Arabidopsis thaliana: one gene and its partner. The protein of the gene in region 1 purifies or fractionates together with the protein of each later gene. This does not show direct contact. Each region holds a gene or a part of one and is shown in the gene's direction. Other genes may lie near its edges. The genes, in order: HB25 and AT2G24440.

Region 1 (10,616 bases):
TAGAGCAACATGTATTCACTTCTAACTGAACTTTACATAATTTAAAGCATGATTTGGATTATCTAAAAAAAAGTTAGATTATGATGAATATACAAGTTTTTTTTGTTAGTGGAAAACTCTCATTTCTTCGAGTAAGCTTCTCCATACATAATTTTCATTGTCTATATATATATTGATCTATTTGTAATTGTAACTCTTGAAAGTTTGGAAAATATTTGTAATAAGAGATAAACAATGATATGGGCCGATATTTGCGAAACTGATTTCAAAGGATTCTTCTTTATGGGCCTATAGAGTTTTGGGCCTTTCTACCAAAACTTTCGCGACAAGCGATATGTTAGGGCACAAGGACAATTCGAAACCTGAGAAGAGAGCTAGAGCTTGTCAGATGTTAGGATACTCCTATCCTTGTTTCCAAACGGGATTACGGTTAACGACGGCGATGGCGCCGGAAATTCACCTGAAACCGAAGAACCCTAGAATTTTATGCCTTCATGGATTCAGAACTAGTGGTCGGATTCTCCAAGCCGGTATAGGTAAATGGCCGGACACAATTCTCCGAGATCTCGACCTCGATTTCCTTGACGCTCCTTTTCCGGCCACCGGGAAATCGGACGTCGAGCGTTTCTTTGACCCACCGTATTACGAGTGGTACCAGGCTAACAAGGTTCGTTGCAACAAAATCCTAAATTTCCTTGAATTCAGTATTGATCATTGACACTGTTAACACTATCAGAGTAAAGGTTGTTTTTTTTCTCTAGAAAACAGAGAGATTTGGTCTAAGTTTGTATACATAATTTGATTTGTGTGTGTGTGTGTTTGCAGGGGTTTAAGGAATATAGGAATTTTGAAGAGTGTTTGGCTTATATAGAGGACTACATGATAAAGAATGGACCTTTTGATGGTCTTCTTGGTTTTTCTCAGGTTTGTTTTGATTCTTTGGCGAGATTTTAGTACTGATCACTTTCATATATATCAGCAGGAGGATCGTGGACCGTTGATTCTTGATCCATTCTTGCAGGGAGCTTTTCTAACTGCAGCTATTCCTGGAATGCAAGAACAGGTACATAACTGCATAACTGATCATAATCCTGGTTCTGAGATTGAATCTGCTTATGATATTTTGAAGAATGAAACCTATTGTTAGAGTAGTTTTCTATTGTTCTGTTTTGAGCAAGTGTGTGATGTTGAAACCATTTATATGCAACAGAGAGGTTGAATCTGAATTGAAGAATGAAACATGTTGTTTTAATAGTTTGAGTAAGTCTGTGATGTTGTAAACTGTTTTGTAGGGATCGGCTCTAACTAAGGTGCCAAAAGTCAAGTTTTTAGTTATCATTTCTGGAGCGAAAATTCCAGGGTTGATGTTTGGGGAGCCTAAAGCTGCTGTTAATGCATTCTCATCTCCAGTTCGTTGCCCATCACTCCACTTCATAGGTAAACTGTTACTACGTTGCGCATGTTCTTGACTTGATTTCTCGGTTATGTTGTAATGCCAAGTTTCTGTTGTTTGAAGCTTACGTTAGTAGTGTGCCTTTAGTGTAGCCAAGATTGGCATGGGAGTGTTTAGACTAGAATCTAATCTGCAGCACTACATGTTAACGTTAGAGATTCTCTCCTACAACATTTGATATGACATAAGAGACAACTTGTTTGTAATTCTGTATCGGTTTTGCTGCAGGTGAGAGGGATTTCCTGAAGATAGAAGGTGAAGTGCTTGTAGAATCATTCGTAGAGCCAGTGGTGATCCATCATTCAGGTGGACACATTATACCAAAACTCGGTTAGTAAGCATGAAAGGCTGATCATTTAAGCTCTGATTTTTTTTGGAGAAATATGCAATTGAAATAAGTAACATAAGATCTGTCTCTTCTTAATTTACTCTAATGAGCTTATCTTTGTCTTCTGCAGATACTAAAGCTGAGGAGACAATGTTGAGTTTCTTCCAGAGCATTAGGCAGATGCTTTCTGATGAATCAGGTTCTGTAAGAAGCTTGATGTGACTGAGAGCTACTCCAGTATGGTTTACTTTAGATTAGATGATCTTGCAATTTTATAAAATTGTGAGATGTGATTATTCTTCTGGTTTAGTCTTTATCCAGGGACAATTCAATAAACGTAAATTATTAAATTTACCAACCAATATGGATTGCCCGTTCATGTAATTACAGTTTATAGAGAAGAGCCAAAGATGGTCAAATAGTTTGGTACAATTGTCTTCCTTTAAATATATGAGCAGCCAATATCAAAAACTCTATTCAAACTTTTTTCTTTGTTATAGGAAAAATGTTAGGAGAATTTAACAACAAAAAAAAAAAATGATGGAAGAACAAAAAATATGGAGGGGGGCATCAAAGAAGGTGAGTTAAATTATTGTCCTTTAGATGTATTAATGGTCAAATGGATCTCATGATAATCTATGAGTTCCACTTGTAACAAAGTTTTACTTCTTTTTCAATCTACCCCCTTATACCCTATTAACTTAGCCTTGTCGGTTGCTTTCTAGTCTTAAAAAAAAAACAAAATTTCAACTCTTTTTTTATTCTTGTATGAAATAATTGATTGAACATATCGAATTACAGATCATATGATTACCCCTCATTTCAAAATAAATATATGATAAACAGTAGACGTCGACATGGGTTGTGTAATTTCAGACTTATATGTATACCCATCATAAGTATTCTCACGCTTGCAAAGCTTTAACTGTTTAGTTTTCATGCACTTTTAACAAATCATCATCATAATCTATTTTCAACAATTTGCTTATATCTTGAAATAGTTGTTTGGTTTAGTTTTTGTGTTGTTTTCCCTGTTCTCATGATATACCAAACCACTATTTTAATAAGAGGTAGAAAATAATTTCTCGTGAGAATGTCTAGTTGTGAATTGTGATGACCGTATCAACATTAATGTATAGATATATGCAATAAATTGAATTTCAAAGACCCTATCATTGACTTAGGAAATCTATTAACTCATGAATTATGTCTGGCATAAAACTGTTGAATAGTTTTTACATGTTTCTTTTGATAATACTACTTCTGTCTCTTTAAGTTTTTGTGTAACCTATTTATGATTTCTAATTTTGAGATTAAGAAATTTTGAAATTCGGTTTAGTAAGAAATGTAACGTTATGATGATTTACGAATAATGAACGGAGACAAATCCTCTGTGTGTCTCCACGTAGGAAAGCGGTTTCCCGCCAGCTGACAAGTAACACGTAAGCACGTCATCTCAAACGTCTTTCAGGAATCCATTTGCTTCATTTCCTCCTCTTATTAATATTTAGTCGGTGTTTTATATATTTTCAGATCTTTATTTTTCTTGTAACATAAAAATTACACTTTTTTGTTCATGTCAAATGAGTTTTCATTATTCACTCTTAAATCTTAATCTCTGCTTTGAAATTTGAGCCGTACAAAAACATTCGCATTTATTGTTGATGCGACACAGATGTTACTTTTATTTTATTATACTATTATTCTGAAGGAACGGTCAGCTGTATTTTTATAGTATAATTTTAATTTAAATCATCATAATCTGGTTATTGAAAAATTATTTCATTTTCAACTTTTTATTGTTTTATAAGATTGGAAATATTTGAATATTGATGAGAGCGAATGTTGGTTTCCTTCTCGAATTCTCGTATACCAATGCTAATATTTCTTTAAAGAAAATACTCCATAGTATGTTTTTTCTTTAAATTTAATTAGCTACGTCAACAAATTTTTTATATTTCTCACAAATAACTTACGTAAATTCATCATGCAATTTTGTGTTGACAAGACCAATGACCCTCGACTGAATTAATGAAGAGACTAGTCGTTAAAAAAATAATACTCAGTTATATGAGTATATAATAGTGCTGGTCGTTTAAAGAAAACAGTAAAAGCATAGTGAAAGGATAAAAACTGTCGTCGGAGATCTAACGTCAGCATAAGTTAATCAGAGGCTGAGAAATGATCATCTCATACGTTTCGTCTTCACATTTGCAACTAATCTACAAGTATTTAATGTATCATTAAACTTTTGTTTACTTGATGACACAAAATAAAACTAAATAAAGTTTTATTTTAGTGTTTATATATTTATACTGAATTATTTAGTAATAATTCTGAAAAGTTGACAACAAAATTCAGACCTTGAAATTATTAAGGGCATTACTGATTTTGATGTGATTAGACTGCCCATCACTTTATTGCAGAAAAATATTAATGCATATATTTATGCTATTGGCATATGGACAAAAATAATTATCGCGTTTATTTTGATTCTATCCCCTTTTTTTTTAGTTTCCCAAAAAGTTATCTCTAATATCATCTCCTCTCTCTTTTTGTTTTTTAATCCTACACTAAGCTTTTTGTATTGTTGTATTGTCCAAAAATAACAAAAGCTTATGGAAAACTTGTAAAACCCATAAGCTACCTAGTGTGTTTTAAGATGAGCCCTAGAACTACTCCTGAAGAAGACAAACATGTTTAATTATATCATTTTAATTCAAGATTACATAAATAAGTTTTTAGTGTGTCATTTTTAGAAGAAAATTAGTAATATTTCGTTCAATTTTCACATGTAGGTAACAATCTTTACAACTTTAAGTAATAACCCAGGAAAAAATAAACAGTAAATGGAATCAAGTAAACACGAACTCAAATCAATTTCTTTTTAACGTGTCTTTTTATATCATAAACATGGTTAAAATTTGTGATCTAATACAAGAATAGTTGACTAAAACAAATCATGCATGGTCAGAGCGATACGACCAAATTGAATAAAATAATAGGAATATATAATTAATAAGAAAGTATAATAGCTCTTCAAGTAAAATTAGAAAGAAAGAAAGAAATAATGCAAAAGATAAAGAAAGCGTTACAAAGTGTGGTTGAGGACAGATTATATTAGATTCCGATTTCCAATAAACAAGAAATTATATAGCAAAAATAAAAGATAAAAATAAAATAAAAACACTTCTCAAATCGGCAAATCCAAAAGAGAGAGATAAAAGAGAGAAAGATAATCTCTTTAATGTCCACATTATCTCTCTCTTCTTCTTCACCTTCTTGAGAAACCTCCTCTCCCCAAAAACGACGTAGTTTCACATTTCTCGACTTCTTGAATGGAGTTTGAAGACAACAACAACAACAACGACGAAGAGCAAGAAGAGGATATGAATCTTCATGAGGAAGAAGAAGACGACGACGCCGTTTACGACTCTCCTCCTCTCTCTCGTGTTCTCCCCAAAGCCTCGACAGAAAGTCATGAAACCACCGGAACTACTTCCACAGGCGGTGGCGGAGGATTCATGGTTGTTCACGGCGGTGGAGGGAGCAGGTTTAGGTTCCGTGAGTGTCTCAAGAACCAAGCGGTGAACATAGGAGGACACGCGGTCGATGGTTGTGGTGAGTTTATGCCAGCTGGAATCGAAGGTACCATCGACGCTCTAAAATGCGCCGCTTGTGGCTGTCACCGTAACTTCCACCGCAAGGAATTACCTTACTTCCATCACGCGCCGCCACAACATCAGCCTCCTCCTCCCCCGCCAGGGTTTTACCGTCTTCCAGCTCCGGTTAGCTACCGACCACCACCGTCACAAGCTCCTCCTCTTCAGCTCGCTCTTCCCCCTCCACAAAGAGAGAGATCAGAAGATCCAATGGAGACGTCTTCAGCTGAAGCAGGAGGAGGGATTAGGAAGAGGCATAGGACTAAGTTTACGGCTGAGCAAAAGGAAAGGATGTTAGCTTTAGCTGAGAGGATTGGATGGAGAATTCAGAGACAAGACGATGAAGTGATTCAGAGATTTTGTCAGGAGACTGGTGTTCCGAGACAAGTTCTTAAGGTTTGGTTACATAACAACAAACACACTCTTGGTAAGTCGCCTTCACCACTTCATCATCATCAGGCTCCTCCTCCTCCACCACCACAGTCTTCGTTTCATCATGAACAAGACCAACCATGAATCTTGAATTTCTTTGATCACTAGGGTTTTAATTTAGCTTAATTAATTACTTGAGAAATTTGAGAGACAAGGTTTTTATTGTTTAATTTATGTACCCATTTTCCTCTTTGATGATGATGTTGATGATGTTGGTGATGATCTTTAATTTCTGGTTAATTATGTTTTGCATTAGTAGCTTTTTAAGTCTCTTAGCAAAATCTTTGATTGGTCTGACTATAAATTACTGACGTCCTTATTTGCATCACATTTGTCAGTGTTTGAATTTATCATGTTTTGTGTATGAATCTATATGAACTTGATCCTGAATATATATGTACATGTATTTTGTGTATGCATTATTTATGTCTTCTTTAGCATATGATTTCATTTTTATTTTATTTTGTGCAGCCTAAGCTTTTACTTGTTGACATTGTTATATATTGTTTCTTAAGTTCCTGGTGTTTTTGTGTGTTATTATATTTGACTGACCATTATTTTCACCCACACACACATTTGTAGCTAGCTAGATCTGATAGTGTTCTTGTTTCTTAAGTTCTAGGTTTTTGAGTGTTTATATATTTTCTTGATCATTTTTTACCACACATATCTAATGATAAATTGGTTATTGTCATAATTATATCTTATGTGGGATTCTATATATATATATATACTTGTCATTTAATTGTCCAATGAGTGTAGGACTCAAATGTGGATCGGTCGGAATTTCCTTGGGATGGAGATCTCTGCCCTAAGAATTAAATAAGTATTTCAATGGCTTATATTATTATCATATATGCGTGAATTAAATAATTTTTTTTTTCCATTGGAAATGAAAAAGGTGAAATAACATCAGCTAGCTGCGGCAACAGTATTCTGATTCCTGGGAATTAATTCTTCACTTAAAAAAAAAAAAAAAAATTAAACTCAAAACATGTCGATGCATCCAAAGCTTCTTATATCCTCTTTATGTCTTATATTATATGTATATGTATATTGTTCTTTGAAGATCTGGGGAAGAAGGAAACATGTGGGCTTCTTTGGAAGCAAGAAGGAGAAGATAGGAAAACATATGGGCACACATACATTACTGCATTAATGATGTTCTTCTTCCAAATCCCTAGACTTTCATCTGGAACTAATTTTGTTTACTTTTTCTTAAGATCACTCATTCACTTATTTCACCTCTAATGATAATTTAATTTGAGTAGTAAACATTCAATTTAATCGAGCAAAAACATATTCAATTGGTTCCATAATCATTTAGTAGTAATAACAATATCAATTTCAACGAGTTACAGTAATTATAATTAACAAAAGTGGTTCGGCCTAGTAATTTATTTTATGCAAAGTGTGTTTGTGAAAAATTTATTGACTAAGGTATGTGTACATATGAACATACATTATATCTCTCTATCTTACATCGTATACCTGAGAGAAACAAAGATAATGAATTCAGATGAAATTAGGGTTTTGAGTGATGGTGAAATGCAAAGATGCAGAGGAAAGAGGGAACCAAAATGATTGTAAAAGGAAAGAAGAGGCAGATAAGATTCGAGTCCCCATCTCACGGCCATTTCCATATATAGCTTTTCATGTCTCAACCTCTCCATCATCTCTCTCTTTTTCTCTCTCCCTCAGACAGTGCAGTAAAACTCGAAAGAGAGTGAGAGAGAGACAAATATACACACAAATGAAGAGACTTGAGAGAGATGCTTTTGCTTGATAAGGCAATCTCTACGCATTCTTGTCCAAGCTAAAGCTGCACACTCCTAGAGTGAAGATGACTTTGTTGTGGTCCTCTTTCATTTTCTCCCTTCTTTCTTTTTTGGTCCAAAATTTAGTTTTCACAAATTTCAAACGCGTTTACCTCAATTAGTTCATTGATATGGCTAATGAATCGGATCGAATTTAAACTTCGATCAACACTTGTTTGAAAATAATGATTATAGTTGCATGGACCAAAGTTTCAGTTACTTCGCAAATAAAACGCAGTTAGCTCAACCGAACAATATCTAATTCGTTAGAAAATTCAATAATTCAGTTGAACTTTAATACAAATCTTGGCTAAGTTAGATCGTAATTTTACGTATAACTTTTAGTTGCTAGAAATTTTAATTTCGTCTACATTGCTTCATAAATCGAGTTATAAGAGAAATAATGATGAGGACATGTATAAATATTATGATTATAGACTTTATTCAGAGGGGAGAAATGTTTACTCGCTGATGCAGTAATGAGAAATGTTCGTACCATACGTTGGAGTCTGAACTTGTAATAAATGTTCATAGAAAGTAGTGAAAATTAAAGTAGTTAAGTTAATTTATCAAAAAAAGAAAAGTAGTTAAGTAAATGAATTTTAGGGTTGTTTTTGGATGTATGGTGAAATTGAAATTATTGAGGAGCATAATATTTTGATCAGATAATAATACTATTTATTTAAACATGATTTTTTAATTTTACTGTGGTCCTCTTCATGGAATCTTTCAGTCAATACGCAGAAACCCATCGGACAACGACCCATCAATGTGTATATTATGTACCATACATATATTATATGAGTGTATACGTTTATATCATCATCATCATCATTATCATCACCATCATCATCATTCTCACAGTGTTTTTACTGTGGAATTGTTACTGTCGTTATGCTTCATTTAGGGAATCTAAATGTGACCCGCAAGCAGGGTTTATTACCTCCCTTTCAAGCTAAGTTTCGAAACAAGTAGTTTTTTAATATGAAAAAGTAAAAAGCTTTATTTTGATTGCGTAAATTTAAATGTAGGACAAGCTAGGGTTAGTAGGACAAGCTAGGGTTAGGGTTTTATATTTCTTTAAACTATATGATATGGGCATACTCTTAGCTTCATAAACATTGCCCTAATTTGGGAAACTGATGATGATTCACGTGCAATGAATAATTTTTTTTTTCTTTCCTGCTTTACATTTCAATTTTTACTTATTCTTAGATATGTAGTTAATTAGTCATGTCGTACCATGATTCAAAGAATTTTACGATTGTATGGAATTCTTAAATACGTAATTTGTTTTTCTTTATACGAAAGGAAAAATATTTTAGATTTGTATTTGGGTCTAGTGGGATGGTTTGTACCATCTTAGTTGAATTTGCTAATCTAATACAAATTAATAGTTGGGAAAAAAAGGAAAAGTATTTTCTCTTTAGTTCATATGTAAAAGAAAAGGCAAAGGTTGAGAAAAGTTTAGAAGCTATAACTTTTAGCAACTTTTATTTCAGGGAAAATAAAAAATATATAATTTGGACAGTTGAATGACTGTGACGACTCATTATGACAAAGCCCAATGAAAGAATTATAAAAGTTTATTTGTTTTGTATTGTTGTCTTCACTTAGTCCTCTGTCCAACTCCAAATAGTTTCTTCATTTCAAAATTTTCACACAATCGTACACAGACATATAATTATGTACGTATATATATATATATATATATCATTCCGTGAAGATTAATTTTGACTGTGTCTAGGATCCTAAAATTGAACACCATTAATATAATTAGTGAAAAGCTAAATAAATTTAAAAGTCTAGTATATGCAGTGATAAAATCATATTCACAAAGTTTTCAATGACAGATGATCTTTCACATTCACCAATTACATGATGGTTATTACTAACATTATTTATTTTATTGATTATTGAGACATATAGAAAATAACTGAATACAACAAATGTTATGAGTTAAAATTGTAATTATTTTAAAGAAAATATATACCAACTAGCATTTGTTAATACATAATTTAAGTTTTTTTCTTACACAACTATTTCACAAGATTAGACCGACTTGTTTAATGATGTATAGAGACTTTTTTTTAACCTTTTCAGATTAAAAATGTCTATTTAAAAAATGATACAAAAAGGGGAAATCTTCATAAATTATCTCCACGCACAATTATTTTATTTCAGGATCATCAAATTGCTAGTATGCCATGCGACAATGGTAGACCCAAATGATTAAATTTAATGAATATAGCATTGGCCCATTTTCTTCATAGTTACAGATCCTAGAGGTTTAGTGGACCTGGAGTCCAATCATTTTATTTATTTTTTGTTAAAAAGTTTTCAATAAAATATTGGGATTTTGGAGTTTTGTTGATAAAAGGTATAAAACGCAAAAGCTCCATAAAGCACAACCTAGCTTTGGTCTCTTTACGTCAACTTTAAGTCAAAGACTTCTGTTCGTGGGCCCAATTCTAAGCCCATTAGTGCGATGCGCGCTTTATCTCACAACGGCACCGTTTGAATTAAAAAAGGTCAACTCTAACGCTCAACAGAACCGATACGGTTTTTTCCCGCTATATTTATTTGGCGGGAACCAATTAAAAAAAGCTCTGTTTTTCCTTTGTTTTATTTTCTTTCTCTTTTTTGCTATTTCCTGCCAACAAAAAATTCTTATAATTTTATTTGTTCAGTATTACCAAAGCTATAAACAAATCAAATATTGAAATTAATACACTTTTATTTATTTAAAAATTTTTGCTTTGATTTATTGTCCTCTTTTTTCAACCTCTCATCAGACATCATACTGATTATAATAATGTAAGAAAAAAACAGTTTTTTTTTTAAGAAAGATGTGTATAAGAAGAAGAAGAATCATGGGTCTTAAAGCTGAAACAACAAGCCGATACTTCTAAAACCCCATTGGG
Region 2 (12,238 bases), on another chromosome or scaffold:
ACATGTATCGACATAGGAAAAAAAATATGTTTATTCATACATGTGATCTTTTAATTTGTGTGTGTCTACGAATAAGAGACTTAAGATAAATTAACGTACCAGGAAGCTCCCATGGCTCGGACTTGTTAAGATCAACGTCAGCGATTGCTTTCCCGGTGAAGTTTTGATCGGCAATCTTATTAACCAAGTAATATGAGATTAGCTCCTCATCCGTCGGATGAAATCTGAAACCCGGTGGCAAAGCTTCTTCTTCTTTCTTATGCTGCTGATGATCTCCTTGTTCCATTTTATATGATCTTTAGTTTACTCCAAATCCAAGAACCTTTTTATACCTGCTTAAAACACATAGTAACAAGTCTAAGTTTCACATAGATCCTAGCGTTCTACAACTGTTTATCCATAAGACAAAGGTATTAAAGGAGGAATTCGAAAGAAGAGAGAATAGTAAAAGATCGATATATATGTATGATATGTATAGGGTGAGAAATTGGGCTTACTTGTATAGATGAGGAAAAACCAGACAACTAAAACTTTTATGAGATTAGGGTTTTGATGGTATTTATATATCATGAGACAAGGATGACTTGCGACTATTCTTAGGAGGAAAAAGATGAAGGAAGACGACAAAGAGTAGGGTTTTTTTCTTCTTACTTTATCGTGAATGGGATTAAAAAACAATTACGCTAACACGGTTTTGATTAATTTATAAATACATACACATATTTATCAATTCTAAGTTTTGTTAGCATATTTAGAAAACCCAATTACCATCTAAGTTTGAAAGACATAGAATTTTCAATAAGACGCTGTAAGAATATAATTTACATTTCAGTGTTTATGTGATTGTTTATAAATAATTAAATAACATTACTATTGTATGGGGTAGAAATTATTATGTAGAAAAGGGAGGAAAATGTGGAAGAGAGTGTGTGCATGAAGCTCTCACCTAATAAGGGTCTTCAAGTACAAGGTACATGCAGCTAAACCTCACACGTCCAAATTTTATCCTTTGTTTATTTTGTGTAGTTGGTCAAGAAATTCTCCTTTTAGGACCCTTATTAATTCATCTTAGCTTATACATATATACAGATATACTTATACACACACCCACATGTGTATATTCCCTATATATATGAATGAACTATGTTGGTGTTAAGAACGGAAAAAAAAAAACCTTATGTTGGTGTTGGTGTCGGATCACGCACGAGCCGGTCCGTTTTGTTGCTAATTACGACTCCCAAAAAAAATCATATGTTTGGTTTAGGGGTCAATGGTCGATGGTCAAAGAATCAAATGGTTTATATGATTTAATTCAAATATAAAATGGTCATGAATAACACATCAAATAAAGAAAGAAGGAAGACTACCCATATATATGGACTATGGATGGATCCAAGTTTTCTCACTGTCTTTTCCACGTGAACAATTTTGTTCCAAATATTAGCTATTCTTCTATATAATTAAACACAATAAAATATTTACTGTTTTCCCAAAAATAAATTACCAAAAAAGGACACATAATAATTAATGACAATTTTATTTTTTGACTTTTTTTTATTTTGTCCATTTATGTTTTTATTTTATTCGAGTTGGTATATATTCACAAAAAAATTGATTATTCACAACTTGATCACGTATCTGTTGAGAATCAAATTAAAGACCTCCAAAGAAAAGAGATTTAATGGGAAAAAAAAACTCCCGATGTGACTGTAAACTCTTCTCCTCAACAAAACTTGTGACATTTTTGTTACCTCGACAAGAAAAAAGAAGAAGAAGAAGAGAAGTTATGCTCGCTGAGTGCAAGCGTTGAGTTTTCTTTTCAAGTAGATATATCAGTTTGTTGAAAGTAAGTGTTGAGTTTACGTTTAATTGGAAAGTGAATTTTAGCTTGCTAAAATTAAATGTTGCGTTATCTCTTCGCATATAAATAGATTGCAGTTCTGTGGATGTAATTTTGAGTTCTATCTTCACACAAAAATAATTTAGCTCGTTGAGGCTGTTTTGAGTTCAATCTTCTTAGAAAAGTACTAAGTATTGAGTCATCTCTTCCGCTCAAGACCGCAAAATGACCAATGTTAGTTCCATATATAATATATCTAAGATCAGATATGGATGAGTTTGCGTGTGTGTAATTTGAGTCTCCTTCAATTATCTTAAGGATTTCATGTGATCATTCAACAACCCGCTGATTAATTCGCTCCAACACAAATACATATTTGGAAATCAACCTAGCATTTTAGGTACCCTCACTTCAAGATCATTTTGTATAAACGTAATATATAATCATTCTTTACGGTCCAAATATTGCGGACACATTGTTGGTTTTCTTCCAAACTTTTTCCGACGTCTTGTCCTAATATATTGATTTTGCCCGACAAAAAAAAGGTGTATAGAGTAATTAATCAATGGAAACCTAACATTTAACTTTGAAGTTTTGAAATTCCGGTTTGACTGACTAGTGGTAGGATAGAAATAACTTGAAACAAAACAACAACATAACTTAGAAAGATTTAGATTCATATTCTCATAATTAGAAGAAAAAAACTAGCTTAGACTCCGACTATACATCGTCAAAAGTACATGGAATAATTGAACAATAGGGCTTACTAGATATTTAATATTAATAAAATAAAGAATTTGAATCAACAGTTATCGCAATTATCACTATAAGAAGTACCATTGTATAAACTATATTGTTGCTCAAATTTTCTTTGAAATACGATAACATTTTATTTTATTACCAAATGAAACATGCCAATTTTGAAAAAAAGTCATGCCAATTATACCATGAGAAGATATATTATAGTATATCTTCCCACATATTCTTATATTTCGTAGTCTTCCAGAAAATGTAGTAGGTTTAACTTATCAAACACTTCAAGTAAGAAAATGAAATGCGTCTTTAATCAACGACGAATGTCCCGATCATTAGAACCTACCGTTCTTTGTTCATTTTACCTCTAATGTTTCCTACGAAGCTACCATTATTACGTAGATAACCATTTTTTATTAACAAAATATGTAAAAGATTGTTATAATCTGTTTACAGTTCAACTTTTTCAAATGTTAGGATATGCTCACCCGTACAAGAAATTACGACACATTTATCTCATCATATTATCTTTCGCGTATATGATTGGGCAAACATTCTCACTAATCTAAAGCAAATTTGAATGATCTAGTTTTAGAAAAATCCGAACCATGCATGTTAATAGAAAATATTCACTCGAGAGCCTTTAAAATTTTGAAAATCTCATTTTATATGAAAACGACCTTCTTTTTTTTTACTATGATTGTTGATTAATTGGGTTTATTTTTGCATCATATAGCAGCTTCAATTTTTTCTTCTTTTATTTCCAATATACTTTTTTATTTTATCTAAGTGATACATAACCTTTTTAGTGTTAATACATCTTAATTTAGTCATTATGAAGATTGCATGACAGATCTACAAAACTTCTTACAGTGACGTAGACGTAGTTTGATTAATTTTAATACATATTTGTTTTGGTAACACCTACAAACTTCTTACAACATGATCCACCGATGACCGATGTGTGAATGTGAACATTAACCGATTTGTGTGAATATGAACATTAACCGATTTGTGTGAATGTTCACTATATGCATGGACATTCATCAATATCCCAAAGTTACTTTATCGTGTACGTATACTTTATATCGATATATATCTACTTATTATGCACTTTTATTTAATTTCATAAAATTTTGTGCACTTTAATTTCTTTCTCCATCATTTTGATTTTCAGAAAAAAGAGCATGAATCAGTTATTTAGTCCAAAAAGATTGTAATTTTACAACACAAAAATGCTCCCAATATAAGTTTAAGAAAGTATCATCCCACTATATTTTACTTCAATTGTAGTTTTGAATTTTTCGTTTGTATGGAGTTGTAGCATATTTTTATAATCTTAAAACAATCTCATATAACTTTGTGGTGGTGAGTGGGTCATTTGACCCCAAATTTTTTTTTATTTTATGTTATTTAAGGTTATAAATAAATTAAAAAAAAATAGCATGGAGTCAATTAACCCACTCACCACAATTTAGCTCTACATGTGATTATATACTACCCGAGTTACCAATATTTCATATACATGTCGACATTTACATCAACATGTATATGAAATATCGGTAACTCATAAATCACTAGTAAATTACAAGTTGATATAAACATATCTACTTAATCGAGAAAATGACACATTCATGGAAGAAAGTATTGATTTGATGCGGAATTCATGCTTGGTATGCTACTTGTAACACACTTCAAATATAATTCTGGTATTTTTACCGTACGATAATCAATAAAAGTCTTTGATTTTGATTTGTAATTTGTCTTTATCTAAATTTAATAAATCTTTGCACAAATTTGCAAGCAACAATCTTTCGAGATGGACACGTACCTAGTAGTCCAATCCCAACAGTATAGTATATATCGACTTAGGTGGTTAACTAATGACAGATTCCATTTCTTAGCTAAATTTTGTTTTTAACCTATTTGGCTATTTTATGTTTTGACTCTTCGAATACTCCCTATGTTCCAATTTCCAAGTAGTCTTGGACTACTCTTGGCTTGTTTAAGGTCTTTTCATAATCATTAACTATCTTCTTTTAAGTATGTTTTACTAATCCTGAAACGTTTTCTTTCCACTGATTAATCAGCAACTTCTGCAACGTTTTCTTTCCATTGATTGACCCAAACAGCATGTTGTGCTAATCTTTAGAAATAAAACGTCACGATGTGTTATACTGATGATCACTTAAACACACGCCTTTTATTATCACAGCGACCATAATCGAACAGTGTCAGTGTCTTTATTATTCATCAGTTAATCTTGACTGTCCATTAAAAATTTGATGACGTGTCCTTCCAAGGTAACTTTTAACCTTCTAACGTCTTTTTAACTAAAGTAAAAGTAAAAATATAAAAAAAGTGAAATATCTAGAGAGAGACAGAGAGCCCATTTGGTGCGGAGGTTGACAGAGCTTTAGTTCCGTACAAATGGCGAGTAAGAAGGTTGACGGAGAAGGAAAAGGGAAAGCTATAGCGAATACGAGGATGCTTCGAAGCATGGATCGAAAGACTCGAAGCGATACTAAGCGAGATGGTTCTTCTTCTAAGCTCATGAAGATCGAATCTCCGGAGAAGAAGAAACGGAAGACGACGAAAGCGAAGAATGTTGGAGCTGCGAAGAAGAAGGTAAAGAAAGAAGAGGTAGCTGTGAAAATCGAGAAAGAGGAGGAGGAAGATGATGATGCTGCAGAGAAAGAAGAAGATGACGACTCCGATAAGAAGAAGATTGTGATCGAGCATTGGTAAACGAAATGTCTCTCTCGGCTTTGGTTTTTTTCTTTTAGAGTTTCTGGAGAAAATTGGGGGAAAATGTAGTAGCGAGTATTTAGGGATTTTGTTCTCCGATATTGAAGCTAATCTTTGGTTTTGTACACAATGTGTCATTCGCCTATATAATTGATTCAATTTCGTTGCTTAGGTTGAAATGTGATCTATTATCGTATTTGGTTATGTTTCTTAGTGTGGTTTTGATTGATGTTAGGTTTCGTTATGTTGCTGATGTTTGTTTGTTGTTGTTTTCCTGAAGCAAACAATGCAAATCATTCAAGGAGAGGGCTAATGAGGTGAAGGAAGGTCTAGAGGAAGCTGTTCCTGGCATCATTGTCACTGTGAATCCTGATAAGGTAGTGAATCTTTTGCTGCAGATGTATATATTTGTCATTGATGCTTGTTGTTTATGATTGTTTGTACCAATGTGTGCATTAATAAGCTAATTCTTTCCTTTTTGATCTGCTTTAACAGCCAAGGCGTGGTTGCTTTGAGATTCGAGAGGAAGGCGGCGAGACATTCATCAGTCTTTTGGTAAGTTTTTCACTCTCATACTTGAATGTAGTATGCCAGTTAGTCGCACTTATGTGAGTGACTTGTTCCAGTTGGATTGATGTTTCTCGTCGTGTCTGTATCTATTCGCATAACATAGTTTCTTTGATGGTATACTTTAAAAAGTGAAAATCAACTTTATTTTCTTAAGCTCACACGAAATTGAGGCTATTTTTGCTGAGTCAACTGATCACCAATGAGGTTTTGTTAGAGCATTCATAAAATGGCCTTTGGTTGTTTGCTTTTTAACTGAATCAAGTTGAGTGCTAAGTTGTTTGAAATAAGAACAAACTAGCAGATCTGATTGTTAGTGACTAGGTGTACAATAAGAAAATGTTTGCTTTCATGTTCTTTATTCTCAGATGTATATAGAAGATGATGTGATTTTCTTATGTAGGCTATGAAGCGCCCATTTACACCGATGAAGGAACTTAACATGGAAGAGGTCATTGCGGACATCGTAGAGAAGATTAAGTAACACAGCTAGTAGGTTCTACCAATGCCGAGTCTTTCGTTTCCTCCTTGGCCCTCGGCTAATAGGCTTCAATATCTGACTATCTAGAGCAACTGCAGGATTTTTTAGGCTTAATTTTGATATATTGGTGAAAACCATTTGAGCACGGTTTCGTCGTTTGGTAGTGCTTGATCGGCTTTGTGCAGTTTCTTTATGCTAAAACTTCCTGATATATATGGGATTAAGTCTGTCTTCGTAATGCTAGTTTGAAGCAATTCGTTTCGTTTCATTTATTGTTGGATTGTGTTTGGCGTTCAATTACGTTACGGATTGGATGAATGAAGATAAAACATTTAGTTACAATGTGGTAATACAAGCTTCACAGGACAGAACATCACACTTTCATTGTCTAATGATAAATGATTGAGGTACAATAATGTGAGTAGAAATTGTTAGTGTCTTTGATCCACTTCGTATCACCATTGCCTCTGTCTATGTTCGAGTCTCATTATCAGTTTAATTTATCCTCGACTCGCTGTCTTAAATCATCTTAGAACCCAACAAAGCTAGCCACAAACCCGAGAACAAGGACAGCACCGAAGCTCAAACCGGTGTTAGAAGCAGAAGAAGGTGGTTCAGCCTCATCAGCTGCTGCCATCTTCTTCTTGCCAGACTTATCTGGAGCTGGAGCTGGAGAATCACTTTCTGATGGTGCAGATGCAGGTGCGGTTTCTGGAGCTAAACCAGGAGGAGCATCTGCATAATCCCCTTCATCAGCAGGAGCTGGAGCTGGAGTGGCTGCACCCTTCTTGGGAGATGGGGCCGGTGGTGAAGACATGGGTGGTGGTGGAGGAACCTTAACCGGAGACCCGAGTCCAGGTGCCACAATGGGCATGCTGATCTGGACCACAGAGAGATTGTACGGGTTACGGAAAACGGTTGTGATGTATTCAGCGGTTTGAGGAGCGCCTTTCACACCAGAACCAAAGTAAATCTTTCCGTTAGATTTGGTGCAGTTGAGGAAACCGTTTTGCTGTTGGCCCAAACCGGTGGACTGGTAAAGGGTAGTGAGCAATGTGCTCTTTTCCTTGAGAGCCTTGAGCTTAAGCTCATCAAAGTAGTCAAGAACCACATGGTTCATAAGAATGTTCTTGACCTCTTCCTCGGGTCTACCAGAGATGGAACCGATAGCATCGTTGTTAAGGGCCAGCACGGTGATGGTCTGACGTTTGTTGATAATTGGTGTGAGCTCGGTCTTGGCAAGAAGCTCGGTCATGGTGCTGAATTCAGGGTATTTCTCGAGCACTCGGGTTATGTTAACCGCTGATACAATGGATGAAACAGCGAGTAAGATGGTGAGACAGAGGAGAGAAGAGGAGACCTTGAGACCCATCTTTGGGTGTCTTTGTTTATTACCCTTATTATTCTATAGTAAAAGCTCAAACCTCAAAGCCTGAGTTTGCAATAAGAGGATCAGGTTGGGTATATATACAGACCTTAAGAGGAGCTCAAGATTAATGGTGGAGAGACATTTACTTATATTTGTTTTGGCTAAATTTGAACATGACTTTATTGTTACCTCTATATTTGGCTTTAGACTGTTTTATTTTTACCTTTGGTTCTGAGGTTTGCGTTATTGATACAGAGCCAACGTAGACAAGTCCATCCTAATCTTTATTAAGTCAATTCTTCAACAACTTGAGGTCCGAAGCTAGAATCAGGAAGTTGTGACAGGGTCATAGGATGTTTTATTTTATTTATTTTATTTTTGAAGATATGTTTTACCAACAAGAAAAAAGGAAATACAACAATAAAAATGCTTTTAAGAAGATAATAAGAAAGAAAGGACAATATGGAAGAAAAAAAAGGAAATTACATTAACGCGTTAGAACAAATTATCCTCAAGAGTTTTCTTGTTTATATAAACATAACATTACACCTTCACTTCTCCACAATTTCAGATTTCACAACAATCTCCTCTCCCATACGACTAATCTTTTCTCTCTATCTCTGAGTTTTGTCTAATTTCACTACGATCGACGATGGAAACTGAATCAATCAAACTCGATGTTCAAGTAACGACTACGTCTCAAGATCCGTCGTTAGGGTTGTTAAGCACGGTAATAATCACTCTTGACAGAGATCTGGAGGAATATGACGAGAATGTTGATAGCATCAAGAGCCTCGGATCTTACCCTGATTCTTCTACTCCCGACGAGTCACTAATCATTCTGAAACTCCCAACCTCCGAACCAGACTACATCTATCTAACTCTCCGTAGCAAACTCAAAGATCATCTCCACGATCATGTCTTGTCCGAAGAAATAGCTGATCAGATTTTCGAAGCCCAACTAGGAACTCAAAGTATTGATCAGTTTCCGTTTCAACAACCTTTATTCATGCTAGTCTCCGTCAAATTGACACAGAAGTTATACACCTACGCGCCTTGTAACGCTTCTCCGTTGGCAACAGATTTGACTAAGAGAGCAAAGTAGAAGAATCGAACTCGCATCTGTTTCATGAAGATTGTGTCGTTACTCATGTTCTCTGTGGGGAACCTGTTTACGAACAACAAGAGTCTAATTAGGGTTTTATTCGTGTGTCGCAAGTCTAAGTTTAGTTTTAATCTCTGTCGTAGACGTTTAAGATGCTAATTAGGGTTTTCTCATTGTCTATGTATTGATCTCAATACCTTTTTGTTGACAACATTCAATGCAGTTTACTTTAATAAAACTCAGAGTCTCAATTTGAAATTCACTTAAAAATTGTCATTACAAGTTTGATACTTGTATGATACACAACATTGATGTTAAAATCGAATTTTTATTCAGATAAAAGACAAGTGAACTTGAAGAACTAAAATTCAGATTCTCGAATTGTAATGCTTACATTACAAGTTTGTTTCTTGTTTTTAACAAAAATCTTGATTGGCAAGCAACATAAATTTTTATCTGAACCAAGAACAGTATTCGTTTAGAAAGATGAAATAAACAAGGAAACAATCTAATACCAGACTTAAGCAGGCGTTCATTGTTACGGGAAGCGAGATGTTCAGCAGAAATATCGGCCTCTGCGAAGTGTGTATTGTGAATTTGTGATTTTGAGACATGTTCCTATGTGCCTGAGGGTCTGTGAATTCATGCCCTAAGCTTTCAACTTCTATCTTCATCTGAGACATAGCAGCAGGACCATGAAGCTTCTTTTGTAGAAGCCTTCTTAGCCTTTGACACTCTTTTTCAAGTCTTGCAATCTTTTTCACACCTTCCAGATGCTGCTTATTTGCGATTTCCGCTGACTTCAAACTCATGTTTTTCTCTTCATTGTTGCGGATCTCAATTTCTCTCTCAGCAAACTGAAGATTAGTCTTTCAGCTTTTCCACATCAGCTTCAGCTTTAGACCTCTCCTCACTAATCTTTACTATCATCTCAGATCGTTCTTGCAACGATCTAGTGAGTGCTGCATTGTCAGAAGCTACTCGGTGAAGTCCTTGGCTCAATTCATCGATCTTTTCTTCAAGCATAGCTTTGATCTTTCCCCAGTGAGTGGTCTTAGCAAGAGTCACATCTTGCAGCTTCTGGTCACTCTTATCTGCAGCTTTAAGAGTGTTACAGATTCAAGTTGACGTTTAAGTGCTAAAGAACAAAAGACAAATCAGTAACAAAAACATCTTTAAACAGTCTGTATTTTCTAAATTTCTAATACTAACACACAAGAATTGCTCACATAACATCTCAAGAACTATGAAAGGTTTTGTGCTCTAACCTGAAACAGCTGCTTCAGCGACTTTTCCATGTTAAAGAATCATTCTTTAGTCGTAAACTCAGAGTAAGCATGATTGAGTCTTTCTTTAAGATTTAACTTCAACTTCAAATAATTTGGCCTGATCCTCTATTTTACTCATACGTGTGTATGACTCGATAGTTATCTGAACATAGTCTGTGTTCTTACACTTCTCCTGACAATCAAAACACAAAAGACTTACAAATGAAATTTATAAATTATCAAAACTGACACATTAGGACTACTAATCTCATATAAAAGCAGAGATCCTGATTCTCCAGAGAAGCTATAGGACATAGAACAAACAAGAGTTGACTCATTTCCAACAACCGGTTTCACAGTCGTGGCTTTGTCCCAAGACTTGCTCTTCCATGGCCAATCTTTTTGGTAGTTTTAGCTTCATTTTTTTGGTATATATATATATATAGATTAGTTTCGGTTTCGAATTTTACAGTTGGATTTAGGTGAACTATATTGGTTGGAAACTCCTCTTAAATTGATATATAGGATTAAATGTTTTACATAAGACCCTAAAACTTTCGATGATTGCAGCACATAAACCACTCTTTTCAAGTATGTTGAACACATTAGCGTTTTGGATAATCCAATTTTCTACACGAAAAGCAACTTTTCACTTGAAATATGTTTTTGCCAGCTTAAGTCAGAGAAAACATGAATACTATAGAGGTCTTTAAAAAGCATTTGATAAAATATTAGGTTGCTCCCAAGTAACATATAACACAATTAGCACATCAACATGATGATAACCAGAAAAAAAAAAAAAAAATCAAAGAGATTGTGAAATATCACAATTTATCTAACAATCTCTTTATTATTGTAACAAAATATATTTTGGTTATTAGTTAAAGTATTTGAAGAACTACTCTTGCCGTCTTCGGGACGCACGCAGTGGGCTAGTCTGGGCCCATTGGGCTTGGGATACCTGGGTTATCCAAAAAAAAATATATATATATATATATATATTTTGGTTATTAGTTAAAGTATTTGAGGAAAATCAAACAACACAATATAAACCGGCAAATTACAATAGGAAAAATGGTTTGGTTTAAGCACTCTGGTATAACGAGATGTTTTACCAACAAGAAAAAAAGGAAACAAGGTAATATGGAGAAAAGGAAATTACATTAACGGTTAGAATAAAGAAAGGAAATTACAATTAACGCGTTCGAACAATTATAATCAGAGTTTTGCTTATATAAACATAACATTACACATTCACTTCTCCACAATTTCAGATTTCACTACAATCTCCTCTCTCATCTAATCTTTTACGAATCATCTTTCTCTCTGATTTTTTGTCTAATTTTCACTACGAGAATGGATACTGAATCATTCAAACTCGATGTTCATGTTCAGGCTTGGTCTCAAGGTCGGTCATTAGGGTTCTTAAGCACCGTAGTAATCAGTCTACATAGAGAAGTCGAGGAATTTCTCATTAAAGAGAAAGATGATAGTGTCACGAGTCTCGGTTCTTACCCTGATTCTTCTTGCCACGACCCACTAATCTCTCTGAAACTACCATGTTTTAAACCAAACGACGTCTTTCACCGTCTCCAAAGCCAACTCCACGATCATGTCATGTCCGAACAGATATCTTCTAAGATTGTCGAAGCCCAACGACAAAGAAGTCAAAGTTTTTACTCACAACAACAACCTTTATTCATGATTGTCTCTGTCAAATTGACTCAAAAGGTATACAGTGTTGTCCCTTGTATTTCTTCTCCGTCAGCAACAGATGTGGACCAAGAAGAAGAATCGGAGACTTGTGCAATCTGTTTGGAGAATATGTCGAGATCTGAGAATTATTGCCAGATGCCTTATTGTAAGCATTGTTATCATGAAGGATGTGTCACCAAGTGGGTGATTGGTCATAATAACTCTTGCCCTCTCTGTCGCAAACCTGTTGACAAATAGCAGAGTCTAATTAGGGTTTTATTTTGTGGTCTTTAGTGACTTTGTAAACTTAGCTTGTTTCGGAAGTGTGTTTAGGGTTTTCACTTTTATGTTTCATTGTTTTGTCTAGAGGCAAATTAGGGTTTTCAGAGTTTATGTATCTGTTTTTGTTGGT

Evidence for each region.
Region 2: the proteins of HB25 (region 1) and AT2G24440 fractionate together in Arabidopsis thaliana (co-fractionation; one large-scale study listed by BioGRID). This does not show direct contact.

The regions. Positions count from the first base shown.
Region 1 is NC_003076.8:26,131,060-26,141,675, forward strand, and holds HB25 (homeobox protein 25), read left to right. Parts: upstream 1-4,942; 5' UTR 4,943-5,119; coding exon 5,120-5,959; 3' UTR 5,960-6,495; downstream 6,496-10,616. Other genes in the region: AT5G65400 (alpha/beta-Hydrolases superfamily protein), read left to right, coding at 335-667, 826-924, 1,022-1,063, 1,293-1,437, 1,682-1,783, 1,912-2,003; CYCD4;1 (CYCLIN D4;1), read right to left, coding at 10,533-10,616. UniProt on the Arabidopsis thaliana protein: Putative transcription factor.
Region 2 is NC_003071.7:10,386,101-10,398,338, forward strand, and holds AT2G24440 (selenium binding protein), read left to right. Parts: upstream 1-4,974; 5' UTR 4,975-5,023; coding exon 5,024-5,337; intron 5,338-5,621; coding exon 5,622-5,718; intron 5,719-5,836; coding exon 5,837-5,896; intron 5,897-6,311; coding exon 6,312-6,392; 3' UTR 6,393-6,918; coding exon of another isoform or gene 6,919-7,761; 3' UTR 7,762-7,834; downstream 7,835-12,238. Other genes in the region: NAC038 (NAC domain containing protein 38), read right to left, coding at 100-286; FLA3 (FASCICLIN-like arabinogalactan protein 3 precursor), read right to left, coding at 6,919-7,761; AT2G24460 (C3HC4-type RING finger protein), read left to right, coding at 8,411-8,863; AT2G24470 (filament-like protein (DUF869)), read right to left, coding at 9,728-9,963, 10,480-10,522; AT2G24480 (Zinc finger, C3HC4 type (RING finger) family protein), read left to right, coding at 11,488-12,084.